4 linked regions of the Cricetulus griseus genome follow. The protein of the gene in region 1 purifies or fractionates together with the protein of each later gene. This does not show direct contact. Links are inferred from orthologs where the notes say so. Each region holds a gene or a part of one and is shown in the gene's direction. Other genes may lie near its edges.

Region 1 (4,158 bases):
GCAGGTACTGTACACACATGGCGTATATACACACAAGCAAGCAAAAACTTCCATACATGTAAAATAAATAAATCTTTCTTTTCAACAAAACAAAACAACAACAAACAAAAACCCAAGACATAGCCAGGCCACACACCTTTAATCTTAGCATTCGGGAGGCAGAGACAGGCAGGCACATGTCTGTGAATTGGAGGTCAGCCTGCTCTACAGAGAGTTAAACAGCAGCCTGGGCTACATAGGTAGACCATGTCCTTAAAAAACTCATTTGTCATTCAGTAGTCAATAAACATTGATCTTTATTCTTTTATGGAAGATGGACTCTGGACCCAGTCATGTGCTGGGTGGATTCAGGCATAAAGAAGTCAAAGACAGACACTGGCCAGTGAATCTAAAGAGTCTAGAACTTTCTATATGACTATCAGACGATAAATCAGTACACCCACATTTGGGCTTACACATCAGTCCCAGGTGTGTTTGGTTACAGAGGCAGTCCCTGAAGGCTAGCCATGCCAGTACTTATACTGAGGCTTTGGGGCTTCAAGGTTTGTAAGGAAGTCTCGGAAATATCTGGCAGAACCCTCTAGCATTTGCTACAAAATAAAAATCTGAGGGGAAGAAGAGGCCAGAGATGGTATCTTTGAAGATTCCCTAACATTCTCTGAATCTGAGTTGGGAAATTGGACTGAGTATTAATTAGTTCAAGGTGTTCCTACAGTAAGGGAGTGAGTCTAGATGCCTGAGAACCTTAAGTGTATCCCCCCACACATTCTCTCTCTGGAGTGCTCTGGGAACTAGGAAGGCAATAGGATTAGGAGTTGATTGCCATTTAAACAAACAAAATTGCAGGGTTTGGTTTCATCTTTACTTTCCGAATCAGAGTCCCCCTTTACTATTAAAAACAAAAACAAACAACAAACTCATTACAAATCCCAGAGAATAAAAGGCTAGTCACTGGAAGAAAGTGTCTATACTAGAGAAGGCCAAGAGCTTAAAACCGTCACTTCTTTGTTCTTCAGGTTTCCAAAGCAGGCAGGTGAGTTTCAACAGTACTTCCCTTTCTTCCTTCTTTCTGTCTTTCTGTCTTTCTTTCTTTCTTTCTTTCTTTCTTTCTTTCTTTCTTTCTTTCTTCTTTCCTTCTTCCTTCCTTCCTTCCTTCCTTCCTTCCTTCCTTCCTTCCTTCCTTCCTTCTTTCCTTCCTTCCTTTCTTTTTTTGTGACGTCAGACCAGCATTCCAGAACTCCAAGGGAGCAGTCTCAAAGTCCTTGAGAGAAACGTCACTGCAGGACGCCAATGTCCCGGAATATTAGCGTACTTGGGCGTGGGGGCGGGCGAAACTTTTCCAGCTTAAAGATGATTTAGTCCCTCCACAGAGGCGGGGCCACAGTCACCCGGCCCCCGGACTGCCAGGCCCGGGACACCGCAAGCGGCCCGAAGGAGTGGCGGTGACTTCGGAGATCAAAGCCGCCTTGAGTGCACAGGACACCGGTGCGCGCCCATCCGTCGTGAGGCGCCCAGGGCCCGGGACGCACACGGGACAGCTGCTGAGAGGGACAGGAGGGGAGGAGGAGGAGGAGGAGGGGGAGGAGGTGGAGGAGGTGGAGGAGGGACGGGTGACAAATCCCCGCCTCCAATCCCGCCCACGGTCCCGCCCTGCCGCGATTATAGCCGATGACTCAGGGCGGAGCTCCACATCCAACCCCCGGCGACCGCCAAGTTCTCTGGATGGGACCAGAAGTTTCTAGCCGGCCAGTTGCTGCCTTGCCTTTATCTCCTCCTTCCCCTTTGGCAGCAAGGAGTCTATTTCCAGACACTTCCACCCCTCTCTGGCCACGTCACCCAGTCCTTTAATTCATAAAGGTGCCCGGCGCCGGCTTCCCGGACTCGTCGGCGACGCAGAGGTGCCAGCACTCCACAACCTCGTGACTGACCCGCGCCCTAGCTCCGCGCCCCGGGCGGACCCCGACCCAGCATGAGCGCCGCAACCCAGTCTCCTGTGATACAGATGGCGTCCGGCAACGGAGCCGGTGACCGAGACCCCCTGCCTCCGGGCTGGGAGATCAAGATTGACCCGCAGACCGGCTGGCCCTTCTTCGTGGACCACAACAGTCGCACCACGACATGGAACGACCCGCGCGTGCCTCCCGAGGGCCCCAAGGTGAGTCGGACTCGCAGTTCCACCTCGACGGTGAAGCGGCCCGCTCGGGCCGGGGCTATGGGAGCTACCCCACCCTGCGCCCTGCTGCGCCAGGAAAGTCCCTTCCCGTACCCTCCCCGGACTGGCGTCGGGCCCTGGGGGAGCCTCCGGAGGGGTGGCCTTGGAGGGTAGCCAGCGAGGTGCGACCCGCGAAGTGACATCGGGTCGTTTTCAACAGCTTCTTGCGAAGGGCAAAGGACGAAGGGCCGGCGGCCAGAGCTGCGGTGCGCTCGGTCCCCGGGAGGGGCGGCCGGCCGGCCGGATGAGTGGCTGAGGCCCAGGCCTGGCCCGGCCGCTGCCTTTCTGTCCCGCAGCCTCGCGTGCTGAGACCCTCTCCTCCCTCCGGTGCTGGTGGCACTCGACCCGGCTTGCAGGGCTGCTGAGGTGGAGTCCTTTGGGGTTTTCACCTTCAAGTTCCGAACTTACTTTTATCTTGACTTTGCTGGATCTCAGGCATAGTGACTCAGTAGGCTCGAGAAAATGGGTTATTTTTCCCCCTAAATTTAAAATTAAACTTGTGTTACTGATTGGAACAGCTTTCAGTTGAGGGGACGCTGATGCTGCTACTCGTCACTCTCTCTTTTTTAAGGATAATCTTTCTGACAGTTTCAAAACTAGAGATCCGACAGTGCCTTGCATACCTAGCCATTGCCTCACACTGGAGAGAAGGAGAATATATTTTTGATGGCGTAATTCTTCCTTGTTATTATCCAATTAAAATACTCGAAGTTTGTTACAAGAAACAGCTGAGGAGTCTTGTGAACCCAGCAGGTGTATGCTTCATTTATGTACATTCAGGCATGTGTACTTCAACGTCAAGAGCAAGAAAATTTGAAAATATGAATTTGAAAAGAAGCCTAGCTTGTTCTTAAAGGCCTGTCACCCCAAAACTCAGGAGGCTGAGGCAGGAGGGATCTTGAATTCAAGGCCAGCATGGGCTACATTACCAGAGTTTGTCTCAAAAAATAATAATTAAATTTGGAATGAAGCCAGCCTGTGCTGCAAAGTTAGACCCTGTCCTTGGAGAAACAATTAAATTTTGAACAAAATGCTTAAAAATACAAATTTAGGTAGGATTTTTAAATATATCATTAACAAAAGTCATACTTAGCATACTAGTCAGTAATAATTTATGCAAGTTTGATCCTTTCCAAGTGAAAAGTTTGGTAAAATAAGCACTGTTAAAGACTCTAACCTGGGCATGGCGTGATGGTGCCATGCACCTTTAATCCCACACTCAGGAGGCAGAGACAGGGGGATCTATCTCTGTGAGTTCAAGGCCAGCCTGGTCTATAGAGAAACCTTTTCTCAAAAACAAACAAAACAACACCAATAAAAAAATCAACCCAAGCCAGGTAGTGGTGGCACACGCCTTTAACCACAGCACTCAGGAGGTGGAGGCAGGCGGATCTCTGAGTTTGAGACCAGCCTGATCTACAAGAACTAGTTACAGGACAGCCTTCAAAGCCACAGAGAAACCCTGTCTCAAAAAACCAACCCCCCCAAAAAAAAAACCCAACCAAACAAACAAAAACCTTATTGTTGTGTGAAGAAAATAAAAACAGTAAAAAGTTGATATAATATTTGGAATTTTCAAAAACTCACCACATTTGGAATGCTTTAGAAATCATTATTTTAGAAAACTCTACCTTCATTTTTATGCATGTGGTGCTGGGCATTGAACCCAGGTCCTTGAGAGGCCAGATAGACTCTTACAATTGTTGCTGTGGCCCTGTTATCCAGCGGAGAGCCATGTCCTCAGCAGTTTACATTTACAAGGAATTAATTGTATATTTATTCCTGGCTGTTAATTGGGTGGGCATAATCGCATGTGTCTTGTGTGTGTGTGTGTGTGTGTGTGTGTGTGTGTGTGTGTGTGTGTCTGTTCTACCCACTTTACATGTTCTCTTGTGAAACTAGCCCACTTTAGACTGCATGGGGAGTCCTCAAGAGACCCACAGTGT
Region 2 (4,243 bases), on another chromosome or scaffold:
GTGAAAAAGCTCAGTCTATGAAAATGCCCTGTTGTAATTTTTTTTTTTGGTGGGGGGAAGGGTTTTGAGACAGGGTTTCTCTGTGGCTTTGGAGCTAGCTCTTGTAGACCAGGCTGTTCTCGAACTCACAGAGATCCACCTGCCTCTGCCTCCCGAGAGTGGGGACTGAAGGCGTGCGACACCACTGCCGGACGACCTGTTGTAATTTTTATCTAGCAAGTCTATTAAATAGATGTGCAGTAGGCACATTAACAAAAGAAAAGTATATACGATATTGTGCTCAGGAGGACAGCACATGAACATCAATATTCAGAACTCTTGTTAGCGTTAGAAGCTTATAACTTCTCCACCGGGGAGATGCGCAGAGGGTGTGGGCAACTGAGAGGAATCAGCCAGAGCACGGGACCCTTAGAGTCAGGGCAGACTGAATGTGGTATTGACCTTAGTCCCTAAGGCTAAGGTCTTAGTTTCGGAGGTTGAGCCTTTAGGTAGATGAGCCACACTTGGGGAAGCCCCACTGAAACTGCTGTTTCTTATTACTGAGCAGAAGAAATGTGCAAAATGCCTTCTGTCCAGCATCTCGGGTAAACTGAGCCTGGTGGAGGTTTGTAAAACAAAACCTGCAATTCCAGGGACTTAACCGTTTTGAGCTGGAAAGTTCAAGGTCAGAGGTTGAAACTCAAGAGGCGCCTCATCTTAAAAGAGGGCGGGTTTGGGCCCTCGGGTACAATGTTCGGTTAGCCTGTGCTGGGCCTTGGAGGGGTCAATGTTTAACATTTGGGAAAAAGATTTCATTCAACGGAAAGCCAAAGGGGGTTAAAAGAACAGGGGAAAAACATCCTTTGTGGTGAGAAGGTCGTTGAAAATCAGACAGTGGATTCTATTGGCATTCCATGCTGGTGATGACCGGGTCTCTCCTGCTCCAAATAAGTGATGAAGTTTGGGGACAGGGACACCAAGGAGGATCTCCTAAATCGGGGCTGCTTGTCGGCCTGGCAGAGCCTCAAGTGTGCGAGCCTTTCCTCCAAACCTCATGACTACAACTCCACGTCCACAGAGCGTGAGTCACACGAAGCTATCTATCTGGTCGCTCGCTATCTGCGAACTTTATGGGTCAGTTTCCACAGAGGCCGTGAGCGTCCTTCCTCCCAGTCTGCTTCCGGGCAACCGCAGGCCCCGGGGCCAGTCAGGCAGGCTCGCCCGGGAGTCGCCGCCGGCTTCCGGAGGTCTCCAAACCGAGGGTTAGCGCAGGGTGGCGCTTCCCGCTCGTTCTGCTTTCTCGACTTCCTCCTTAGCGACTCCACGGAATCCGCGACCAAGGCTGCCAGGTTCTTCCGAGTGCGAAGGGGGCGCTTTCGAATCCGGCACGAGCCCGAGCCGGTAACCGCTGCTGCGCATGCGTGGCGTCAGGACCGGGCGGAAGTGGACGTCGCCGCGCCGCCACCGCATGACGCACTTCCTGTTTGTTGTTGGAGAAAAGGAGAGAAAGGAAAGCGCGAGGAGACGCCGCCACCGCCGCCAGCGCAGCTGTGCCAGAGCCGCGAGGAGACCAGCCGCCCGACTTCCCCCCCTCGCCGGCCGCCGCGTCCTCGGTGAGGGGCTGCGGACCGGGCGGACGGCAGGGTCCACTGCGCGGGCGGGGCGGGCCGTCGGCTGGCGCGGGTAGGGTGACCTGCTCGGCGCCTACACACACACACACGGCCGCGGGGACGCCGGCCCGACGGGGGGCCGCTCGCCAGGGCCGGACGGGCGGGCTCCAGTCGGAGCGGCGGCCCGGCGTCGCGGCCCGAGGCCTGGGGCTTTCCTGGCGTGGGCCGGGTCTAGACCGGCTCGGTGGAGAAGGCCGTGCCGGTCCGCTCAGGCCTAGCCGGCCCCGGCCGGGCTCCGCTCCCTGCCTCCCGGGGCTGTAGTGGCGGTTGGGCCCGGCACGCGCGAGCTCCGCCACAGGGCCGCGGGAGGCGGCGAGGCCGGTGTCACCCTGTCCTGGCGTCCCCAGTGCATTCTGCAAGCGAGGGGGTCAGGTGGCAGGCGAAGAGGAGCGGGGCTCGCCGGGGAGGCGCGCTCACGGGCTCAGGCTGCCGGCCGGGCTCTCCCGGCCCAGGACTGTTGGGAAGTTTTGCTAGGCGACCTGACTGGGCGCCGTTTACTTTCAAAACCCGTTTGCTGTTAGCCTTCCAGGGTGCCTCGCTGTGGGTTTATGTAACTAAAAGTTTATGTAACTGAAGTTTACATTAAGTCTTAATTCGCTTCGGTCCTGTGGAAAAGGGAACCCTACGCTGCAAGCCTTAAGATTGTCCTGAAAACAAAACAAAACAAAAACAAAAAACTGGGGGGGGGGGCTGGCGGTTTTTATTTTATAGAATGAATTGTTAGACATTTTAAAACTTGTTTACCGAAGTTGTGTGTGAATTGTCGAAAGGGAACGGAGGGGATGGTCCCACTTTCTCAGGCACGCCCAAGCAGGTGGAGAGTGTAGGTCCAATGCACTCACTTTGTTTTTATTAATGTCTTTATTTGAACCATAGATTTGTGGTCAGGTTTTATGGCTAGTAAGTCCACTGTATCCCCCTTTCTAGGCCCTGCAATCCTGGGAATTGAACTCCGTACTTACTGCTTGCTAGGGGAGTGATGGCTACTAAAAGCCAGCTACTTTAGTAGAAAAACTAGACTTAAGCAGCCAAGAAGGGAACGGCCCTAACGAAAATGCATCCTAGTCGTTGAACGTTGGTCGTGAAGTAATTGAGCACATCTGTTACGGGACTCTCTTTGGGAAGTTCTTTGGCAATTCCCACCACAGGGGGAATTGCCCTCCGGTGTGTGATTACTACGCCGCCAGTGATCAGTGCAGACACTTGCCGTGAACTGCGAGTGGACCTTTGGAATTAGAAGAAATAAGAAATCTGGGAAGAAATATGCTGCCTTTGTGTAGGTACGGGTTGATTTGATAGAAAGGAAGAAATGTTTGTGATTTCTCTTCCCATCACTTTTTCCACAGCAGACTTTGGAAATTTTGGCTTTTCATGTGTTTGCTTTTTGAAGAAGTTGGCATTGTGTTTTGCTTTTTTGAGACAGGAGTTCTGTGTAGCCCTAGGCTGTACTGGAACTCACTCTGTATTGAACTCTTGAGATTTGCCTGCCTCTGCCTCCCCAGTGCTGGAACTAAGGGGGTGCCTCACCACACCCCGCTAAGAAGTTAGCTCCCACTTTGTGTGGTTATGAAGCGAGTGTTACAGCACACATGTGGGAATCCTCCATCCATCAGTCTCTCTTCTGCTAGTTCCAACCCTCTGCATTTATATAGCTCTACAGTACCATATCTGAATTAATTCTTTTTTGTTTTTTAGATTTTAGTCTCTCACTTGTAGCTCTGGAAATCAGTGGTCAGTTTGACTCTGCCTCCCGAGTGCTGGGATTAAGTTGTTGTTTTGTGTCTCTCTCCCCCACCCCCCACCCCGTTTTTTTTTTCTGTCCTCTTCATTTTCTTTTGGGTACAGGGTTCATTTTTTTTTTTTTTTAGCTCTAGCTGGCTTAGAACTTGGTATGTAGATTAGGCTAGTCTGGAGTTCACAGATCCACCTGTGTCTGCCTGTAGTGTTCAACCATGCCTGGCCCAGAGTACAACTTTTGGAGTCAGTTCTCCTCCTTTCATGGATTACTAGGGTGGAACTCAAGTTGTCAGACTTGTGCGACCAAATTATTCGGCCAGTTGACCCAGCTCCACAGCTTGAGAAGTTGGCCTCTTTTTGTCTCTGAGACAAGTCTCCTCTGTGTAATAGTGCTGGCTGTCCTGGAACTTGCTCTGTAGATCAAGTTCCTGCCTCCTGGAGAAGTGAAAGATGGAATCATATCACCGAGTTTTAGGGTGGACACTGGCGGTGGCACCCCCCCCACCCCCCATCCCCACCCCCCACCCCCACCCCCGACAGGGTTTCTCTGTGTAGCTTTGGAGAAGCTGGCCTCGAACTCAGAGACCCGCCTGCCTCTGCCTCCTGAGTGCTGGGATTAAAGGCGTGCGCCACCAATGCCCAGCTGGCACACACCTTTCATTCCAGCACTGGGACAAACAGGCAGGATGGTTTCTAGTTTAAGGCCAGTTTGGTTTTACTGATGGAGTTCAGGACAGCCAGGGCAAACACAGAGAAACCATCTTGGAAAAAAAGAAAGAAATCATTTCTTGAGGCAGAGACAGGCTAGTCTCCAGAGTTTGAGGTCAGTAAGGTCTACATAGAGAGACCCTGACAAA
Region 3 (4,120 bases), about 200 Mb from region 1:
TTCTTTTTACTTTTATTTCATGTGTATGGGTGTTTTACACGGGGACCCTTATTTCTTTTTACTTTTATTTCATGTGTATGGGTGTTTTACACGGGGACCCTTATTTCTTTTTACTTTTATTTCATGTGTATGAGTGTTTTGCCGGCATGTTAATATGTGCACTACATGTGTGCCTCGTGCCTGAAGAGGCCAGAAGAGGGCATTGAATCTTAAAAGAAAAGAAAGCAATGGAGAAAGGGAGTGGTCGGCCTGGCCTTGACCAGCATGCCTCAGCAGGACGGGATGAGACCTGAAGGCTGCAGCTGACTTGATGGAGGTCGTGGAGACCTCGAGTACCATAGAGACAAGGGACAGCAAGAGGAAAAAGCAACGCAGACAGAACAGCAGAGTACCAAGGAGCATTTCTTCAAAGATGACATCTCCTGCAGGAGTTTGAGCCGTCGGGACAATGTTGGGGAAGGGGGATGTATGTAAGGATGGTAGGAGGGCGTGGGGGGGGGTCGTGCCCCCCACCATTCACTCTAACACTCAGGAGAATCGGCTTTCCTTCCCTCTGCCGTGACAGCTCCTTCCACCCCACCCCCACAGGACGGACTGTGTGCTCGGGAGGGGTGTTCAGGGGATACAGTCCGTCCCAATAGTGGTGCTTGGTGGATGTCGCAGAGCTGTGGACTGCTGGCTCTGTCTGGATGGACTCTTACTGTCAGGCCCCATGTGGGGCTAAGGGCCTCCTCCAACTCCGTTGGCTCTTACTATTTATTTGTTTATCTATTATTTATTTCCTTATGTATTGGTTTCCAGATTATCCTGCAAGCCTAGCTTTGGTTGGTTGGTTGGCTTTGGTTTGGGGGATTGAACCAGGGGTCTCTACCACTGAGCTACATCCCCAGCCCCGGGAAAGCTAACTTGCAACTACCCTGTCTCGCTGCTTCTCCATTCCCTGGAATTCAGAAATTCTGAAATCTCCGGTGGCGCGGACCACGGCCGCTTTGACCTGTACCGTATCCCTGACAGAAGGGTATTATGAGGCTATTCTCCCCTACAAGGGGAGAATGAGGTGAGAGAAGACCTCTACAGCCGGGGTGTTTTAAAAGGCTGCTTTCTCTTCCCCCTCGCCAGTGGGAGGCGCAAGGGGCTTGGGTGAGAGCCCGGAGCGGGGCGCAGGCTGGCGGCGACCAGGCTCGGGAGGGTCATTGCCCGGGTAAATGCGCGACCCTCCGTCCCTGTCCTGGAGACTCAGGGCTTGGGGACGGGGTGGGGCCTCGCACCGACCCCGGGATGTCCACTCGCGTGGCCTGGGGAGGGCGTGGCCTAGGGCTCCGCCCCCTTCCGCGGGCTCAAAAGGCGCGGCGTCCGCGGAGGCGGGGTCAGAGCGCAGCGCGGATCCCAGCAAGGCTCCCGGAGGCCGCCGAGCCGCGGCCCAGCCGGGCACCCAGGTACTGGCGGCCGCGGGGGGTTCCTGGGCTGCACCCCGTGGGGTCCCGTGGCCCGCTGAGGTGCTGCGGGGGGCGTGGCGGCCGTGGCCTGCGCCGGATCCCCTCGGTTGGCTTCGGCCGCAGCCTCCGCCCCCGCCTTCCTGCGGCGGTGCGGCTGATTGGCGCCTGCGCCACCGTGTGCGGTGGGGACGCGACCAAGCGCGGGGCTGGGGCTGGAGACGAGGGGAAACAGAGTCACGTTGGGAAGGGAGCTTCGTGCGTGTGTGCCACCACTTTTACTGGCTTCCAGAAAGAGTCCCCTCCCTGGCCGCGCGTTAGGGACATGACCCCCGCCACTCTCCATGGGGACAGCGCCCCGTTTCTTACCCCCCTTGCAGTGCCCGGGGTCCCACCCTGGCTTCCAGCAGCCTCGACCTGTCCCAAAATGGCTAGGACCCGCTGCAGCGGCCTCCTTCCTCGCCCCTCCCCCTCACGTCCCGAGCCCCTAAAGTGCTCCCTCCACGGGCTCTCCACAGTGTCAGCTTACACGCCTTATATAGTCCGAGCAGGCTCCAGCGGCCTGCTGGGACCCGGGGAAGGAGGGGGAGCTGGCCCCTGACTCACCCTGCCGCCCTCCTGAGATTCCAGGTTAGCTTGGGCGAAGCAGTGCCAATTAGCCCCACAGCCCACCCCCGGGAGAGAAAAGAAGTTAGACTTGATGAGAACTTTGCTCACCCTCCCAGTGGCAGGGGCCAGGGTGGGGAACTGACTTGTCTGTTGCCTGTGAGGTCTGCCAGCCGGGAGCCCCGCCAAACCCAACAAGATACCTGCCTCCCAGTGCCTGTGTGTGCTGAGCGTCTCTCTGTGCCTTCTGGTACCTGGCTAACGCTAGTGACCAGATCTGGACCTGCTGGGCCATCTGCAGTGCTGGGTGCGGCCACTCACTTTCTCTTCTGTCCTCACAGGAGCAGGCACCATGGATTCCTTCAAGGTAGTGCTGGAGGGGCCAGCACCTTGGGGCTTCCGGCTGCAAGGGGGCAAGGACTTCAATGTGCCCCTCTCCATCTCTCGGGTAAGCCTAGACTGGGGAATGCACTCCCCAAGGGTTCTTGGGTGCCCATGTTTCCAGCAAATGGTGGGAAGAAACAGCAAGAGCGAGCAAGCTGCTCAGGGGCCAACAGGACACCAGCATCCAGGTCCAAATGGGCCCTTACTTCAAGGACTCCTGGCTAGGTGGATAGTGGAATGGGGAGCCCCCCCCCCCCAGCTGCCCTGCTTTGACATGGTACTTGATGCTATTCCAAGCCCCCTTGGCCATCTGTGAGTGCCAAGGAGAAGCCTATTTTACAATATGGGAGGTTGATGTCTCCAAGAAGTGCTTTAGCATGAAGAACAGTGTGTGGCACCAGGTGCCAGGCAGGACCTAACTTTAATGTCACTGCTATCCAAGGCATAGCAGTTGTCATCCTGCTTTGCCAAGTGACAGGACTTGGAGGGATGGAGGAGCTCAACCAGCAAGTCCCTGGCAGAGCAAGAATATGAACTGAGGCACAAAATGGCTTGTCCTTCCTGTAAGTTTAAGGGGTCTCTTCCCAGCTGAGTGAGGACTGAGCAGGCTGAGACTCAGGTCCTCAGCCTGCTGGTTCTGGTCAGGCTGTAGTGACCTTTGACCCTAAGCAGAGGTGTAGTGAGGCTAGCCTCCAGGATTCTTGTTCCCATTCTTCAGTCTGCCCTGATGGGGGGTGGGGCTGGGAGCTGACTCCTCCCTGTGGCAGGGGGATTGCCTTATAAGCCCAAGAATGTAGCCCCAGCTGGGATGGCCAACAGTGGCCAGTCAACAGAACCCAAAAGGGTTGGCCTAGGTCTAGGCCCCTTAGCGCCATTGGTGGGCCCTTCACCTGATCATCAGTCATTTTGTGTCAGTGGGACTCAAAGCAAACTTTGTGCCAGAGTGGGTGAGGCCAGGGCGCCAGCTTGGTAGCTCTGACTGGCCTAGGGGGTCAAAAAAGGGGCAGGGACTTCCTGCCCTGATAGCCTCCTGCCTAGAGAGGCCCACCCAGCCACAGAGTAGGCATGCAGCTGTTGGCAGGAAGCCCAAGGCAAGCCCAGCCCGAAGGGGCCTGAGAACTTCCCGACACTGCTCAGCCTGAGAGGGGTGTCAAGGCTGCATCTCTCAGTGGGAGCTGGACATCAGATATCGGACATCGAGGCTAGGGCAGGCATACAGACAAACAGGCTGCGTTCTTCCCAGGACCCTTCCCTGGGGCCCTCTTGGAATCCGCCCCAACCAGCAGGGTGACTAAGGCAGTGGGCCCTCCCCCCATGCACATCCTACATCTCCCTCCTCCCGGGAGTGCTGGCCAGTGTGGTGTAGGGCTTGCTTTCTTCCTGGGTAACGATGGCCTCTTAGATGTTGCCTGTTGGAGGCACTCTGGTCCCTGGGTTCCTTTGTCAGCAGCCTTAACGTGTGGGTGGGGCTACCAGCTGAGCCCTGCCCTGGAATGGGTGGGGTGGTCTTTCCTAAATTGGGCCAGCCTGCTATCCCTCCCCTGACCCCAGAGTAGAGGGAGGAAGGAGGGGCGAGGCCTGGCTGTGGGCCCAGGCCTGGAAAATGAGGTAATGTCTGGGATTTGGGGGTTGGGCAGCTCAGTAGAGCTCCCAGGCTGACTCACCCACATCCATAAAGCTGTCCAGCCCCCTGGCTT
Region 4 (4,246 bases), on another chromosome or scaffold:
CACTCTTTAGGAACCATGTAATTGCAGAAATTTCAATTTCACTGTTTTTCCAATAGGCTAAGTTAAGTCTTAATTGGGTTTCAGATTCATGGTTTTGTTTTTTTTTTTAATACAAGGTCTCACCATGCAGCCCTGGCTAACCTAGAACTCGATATGTACACCAGGCTGGCCTCAAACTAACAGAGATCCATCTGCCCCTGTCTCCTCAGTGCTGGGATTAAAGATGTGTGCCACTACCACTGGATAATTCTTGCCTAGCTGAGTGTCTTTCATTACCAAATATTCACAGCTCAAGTGATTCTCTTACTACTACTGACATCTCCAAAACTCAGCCACATATCACAATAATAAGTAAAAGTAGTACACAAACAACTGACTACAAAGGGCCAACTACCTAGAACTGCATGTAGGAAACAGCTTAGGTACATTTAATAAAACAAGAGAACAGCCAATGATTGTGGAGTCACCTGTAAGAGACATGGTTGTGCGTGCCTTCTACCACCTAGATTGCTGGAGCCTCACCAGCAAGTCTAAGTAGCCCAGCAACAAGGAGAAGCAATGATTCCCTGACAACCAGTACTGGATGCCCTGGGTCCCATTCAGGCTTCTATATTCTCATGTCCTCTTTTATTTCACAACACACTTGACATACTGGCATGGTAACACAACTAAAATCTTTTCTAGGGCAGGAAACACAGATGGAAGGTTCAGAGACTGTGGTGAAAGGCACTCTTAAAGGTCTCTTCCTTCCTTAACAAGGTTCAAGCCACGTTCTAGCGGCCCTCGGCGCAGGTAGTGCTTTTCTGAGGGTTCCAAAATAACACCCAGGACAGGACGAGGTTCTTCCGGGCTCTAGGCGACCCCCCAGTCACCAGACACAGTACCAGGGTCCGGCCTCCCTGGCTTTGCCACGTGCACACCTGATTCACAGAGGGATGCGACCCACCACCTCGAGGTTACCTCTTGTGGCTGCGGCTCCTGGTCGGGTTCCAAACGCCGCTTCCCCGACAGCGATTCTGGTGACATGTGGGGCTTACCCCACGCCCCCGCCATGCTGCGCCGCGCCGGCTACCGATAGACTGTCGCTTCCGGCAGCGAGCGCGCCTCGTGTGCCCTCAGACACGCCACGCCCAACCAGGCTCTGATTGGTGAGCAGCCGGGGTGAAGCCATCTTGCGCAGCCGTAGAGAGCGGTGGGCCGCCCAAGGGCAGGGCCAGTGGAGTGGGCGGGGCAGGTCACAGCGCCTGCGCACACGGGATACAGGTCCGGCCCTAGCGAGAGCGCGCCGGTCGCAAGATGGCTGCGGCCATGCGAGGCCTTGCTGTGTGTGCGCAGCGGGCGGCGGAGCGGCTCGGACAGCAGGGGCAGCGACGACACTAGCTCAGCCCTTAACCACTCTTCTAGAACGCCATCCCAGCCTCCACCCGCTTCGTCCGAGATGGATCTGGCTCTGGGCCCCGGTGCAGCGGGGCCCAGCAACGTCCCGGCCTTCCTGACCAAGCTGTGGACCCTCGTGAGCGACCCGGACACCGACGCGCTCATCTGCTGGAGCCCGGTAGGAGCTGGCATGGGCCGGAGCGGCCTTCAAGAGTGGGGTCCTCTTCCGGGAGGGGACCTACTAAGAAGAGGCCTAAGGGTAGCCGGGCTTGCCCGGGTTCAGGCATCCTGGAGGGACAACGCCGCTGCCTGGGGAGGAAGTGAGCCCCGCCCCCAGAGCCACTCGGCGGAGAGTAGGCCGGGAACCAGAGTCCTAAGTTTCACTGGGACGATGATGTCGGGGCTTCCAGTTCAGGTTCTTTGACTCATAGATGAATAGCTTCCCAGAGTCCGTCTGCCTTTCTGCTTGTAGGCAACCGTTCAGAGTTAAGTGGAGGGCCTAGAGAATGCACAGAAGAGCGAGAGAGGAGGATGTGAAGCCCAAGCTCATCCATTATAGTCCTCAGACGCCAGAGCGTTTTTGCCCGGCCCTGGTAGGGCGGCGTCGAGCCCTCTTCTGTTGCCTGGCAGCGGGCTGTATACACCACAGACCCTGCTGGGCCAGCAGCTCTGGCTTACAGAAATAGGTCTGCGTTTGTGTCGAGTTGAAAAGTAGAGTCTGTTGTTCACATCTTGGGTGTGAGGGCTAGAGCTCAGAGCTAACAAATGATGGCCTGAAGACAGGCCATCCTGATCCCGAGGGAGCCTTTGGAAGGGTGGAGACGGCTAGTTGCCAACTACTTGATCTCCTACAAGCCAAATCTGGCTCTGCTGAGCCCTCCCTCCTGCACACTAGTCTCTTAAACTGGCAAGAATGGCAAAGCCAGGGTGGAAGGTAGAGGCCAAGGCTTCTGCCTCCCAGTTGCCTGTTTCTTTAAACTCTGCTCTGCCAAGACTAGAAACCACGGAGCTTCACTTTTCACTACAAAGTCTTTGTGATTACCTCACTGGCTCTCTATGGGTCTTTCTCTCACCTAGTCCTGGAAAGGAGCAGTATGTTTTCATGAAGGCCATCTTCAGTTCACCACCTCTCCTCTATCTTTCCCCAACTTTCCACCTCTGCTTGTTTAACTGAAAGGGAGCTTCCTTACCTAGGTCCAGTAGGGATACCAAGTGTTCTCTGGAATGGTCTGAGCGTAGTCCTATTAGGAAGCTCCATCCTATCTGGTAATCTCCCTGCTGTTTCTGCTTATAGATTGGTACAGATGTGGGTGAAGTGCCAGTGAACATTCTTCTAGGACAGGATGTTCTGATGGGGGCCTCTCAGTGTGAAGATGGATCTGATCTGCCCTGTGACCTCCCTCCAGCCCCAGCTGCACATCACCTGTGAGCGTTGCTGGCATGTGGGGAGGTATGGGCAAGTAGTCTGTACAAAGCAGCAGTGGGCTCTAGCTGGTATGAGACATGGCCATGGGAGCTGGCATGATCATGAGTATAGCAACCAAGCTCCGACATAGAAGTGGAAGAAGAACACCTTTGTCTGGACCAGACAAGGACAGCAGAACTCCTTGAATGGAGCTCTCTGGTCCACAGATAGGAAATGATGCTTCCGCCACTCCTGCCCCATGTCCTGTGGGCACTTATACTGGCTTGGTAGCCTCTTAACAGCATTCACTGCAGGCCCACTGCTCTGGAGACTTTGGATCCACACTCATAGTCTGAGTGACTTCCAGTCAGAATTCTCACTATTCTCAGACATATCCTCCTGGAGGGAACAGGGAGGCTGGATACATGGGAAAGCGTGTCTAGCCCCCAAAATTCTTTTCTGAGCCTTGCTAAGTCTAGCTGCTCATCCCTACCACTTAGACACAGAGTAGATCACTACCTTTCCCTAGCTCAGTGGTATTTGATTTCCCATCCCTGACCCTCATTCAGTTACAGGTGCTTCACCAGAACAGGGACCTCAGGAGATCCAGGGGTTTCCCCAGACAGATCCCAGAGGACAGCACAGCCTTGGGAAATTTAGGATCCCAGTGAGATCCATACAGTACGTGCACATAGATGGGGGTTGTCCTTCCTCAGTAGGCTTCTCTTTACCTGTACAAAGGCACCTCCAAATCCAGTACCCAGAGATGCAGCAAGTAGGGCTCAATACTTGGATAAACACTGGCCCTTTCTTCTTTGTGCTGTACTACCTCTGTCTCCTAAGTGAGAGCCACCTCAGTGCATTCTGAAATGGGGGAACAAACCTAAATAAAAAACAAAAGCTCAGAACCTGTATCTAGCTTGATCCCAATTTTATGAGATCATTTTATCCAGTCCTTTTTAGAAATATTGAAGAGAAACATGAGAAATAAGTTTGTCTGGCTCGAGAGAGTACAGATGGTGGTGATTTTTGTTTGGTTTAATTTTCTTCTAGTTCTGAAGATGAATGTGTATTTTCGTGTGTGTGTGTGTGTGTGTGTGTGTGTGTTGTGTGTGTGTGTGTGTGTGTGTGTGTACTCATGAATGCTCACTCAAGCAAATATATATAAAGGCAAGGACATCCAGTGTCCTCTCTTAACATTCTCTGCCCTGTTCCCTTAAGACAGCTTCTCTCACTGAACCTGGAGCTTGCCTTTTATCAGCTAGGCTGGCTAGTCAGCAAGCCTCAACAGTCCTTCTCTTTCTACCCCACCCAGCACTGGACTTACAGGCTCACACAGCCACACCCAGCTTTACATGGGCACTTAGGAAATCCAAACCCAGACACCCATGTTTGTGCAGCAAGCTCTCTTTCCTACCTAATCATCTCCTCAGCTCCTGAACATGTTTCTGACCTACTAGCCAG

Evidence for each region.
Region 2: the proteins of Bag3 (region 1) and dnaJ homolog subfamily B member 6 purify together in Homo sapiens (co-immunoprecipitation; 3 studies listed by BioGRID and IntAct, with this or other methods). This does not show direct contact. The link is inferred for Cricetulus griseus from reciprocal best matches to the Homo sapiens genes BAG3 and DNAJB6.
Region 3: the proteins of Bag3 (region 1) and Pdlim7 purify together in Homo sapiens (affinity purification with mass spectrometry; 3 studies listed by BioGRID and IntAct, counting the BioPlex papers as one, with this or other methods). This does not show direct contact. The link is inferred for Cricetulus griseus from reciprocal best matches to the Homo sapiens genes BAG3 and PDLIM7.
Region 4: the proteins of Bag3 (region 1) and Hsf1 purify together in Homo sapiens (affinity purification with mass spectrometry; 3 studies listed by BioGRID and IntAct, with this or other methods). This does not show direct contact. The link is inferred for Cricetulus griseus from reciprocal best matches to the Homo sapiens genes BAG3 and HSF1.

The regions. Positions count from the first base shown.
Region 1 is NC_048596.1:72,277,278-72,281,435, reverse strand, and holds the start of Bag3 (BAG family molecular chaperone regulator 3), read left to right. Parts: upstream 1-1,356; 5' UTR 1,357-1,485; intron 1,486-1,629; exon of another isoform or gene 1,630-1,857; 5' UTR 1,858-1,969; coding exon 1,970-2,155; intron 2,156-4,158. UniProt on the Homo sapiens protein: Co-chaperone and adapter protein that connects different classes of molecular chaperones including heat shock proteins 70 (HSP70s), e.g. HSPA1A/HSP70 or HSPA8/HSC70, and small heat shock proteins (sHSPs), e.g. HSPB8.
Region 2 is NC_048601.1:92,980,039-92,984,281, reverse strand, and holds the start of dnaJ homolog subfamily B member 6, read left to right. Parts: upstream 1-1,435; 5' UTR 1,436-1,592; intron 1,593-2,570; exon of another isoform or gene 2,571-2,929; intron 2,930-4,243. UniProt on the Homo sapiens protein: Has a stimulatory effect on the ATPase activity of HSP70 in a dose-dependent and time-dependent manner and hence acts as a co-chaperone of HSP70. Plays an indispensable role in the organization of KRT8/KRT18 filaments.
Region 3 is NC_048596.1:274,497,957-274,502,076, reverse strand, and holds the start of Pdlim7 (PDZ and LIM domain protein 7), read left to right. Parts: upstream 1-1,312; 5' UTR 1,313-1,436; intron 1,437-2,380; 5' UTR 2,381-2,391; coding exon 2,392-2,487; intron 2,488-4,120. UniProt on the Homo sapiens protein: May function as a scaffold on which the coordinated assembly of proteins can occur. May play a role as an adapter that, via its PDZ domain, localizes LIM-binding proteins to actin filaments of both skeletal muscle and nonmuscle tissues.
Region 4 is NC_048595.1:373,768,731-373,772,976, forward strand, and holds the start of Hsf1 (heat shock factor protein 1), read left to right. Parts: upstream 1-1,438; coding exon 1,439-1,555; intron 1,556-4,246. Other genes in the region: ribosome biogenesis protein BOP1, read right to left, coding at 961-1,053. UniProt on the Homo sapiens protein: Functions as a stress-inducible and DNA-binding transcription factor that plays a central role in the transcriptional activation of the heat shock response (HSR), leading to the expression of a large class of molecular chaperones, heat shock proteins (HSPs), that protect cells from cellular insult damage.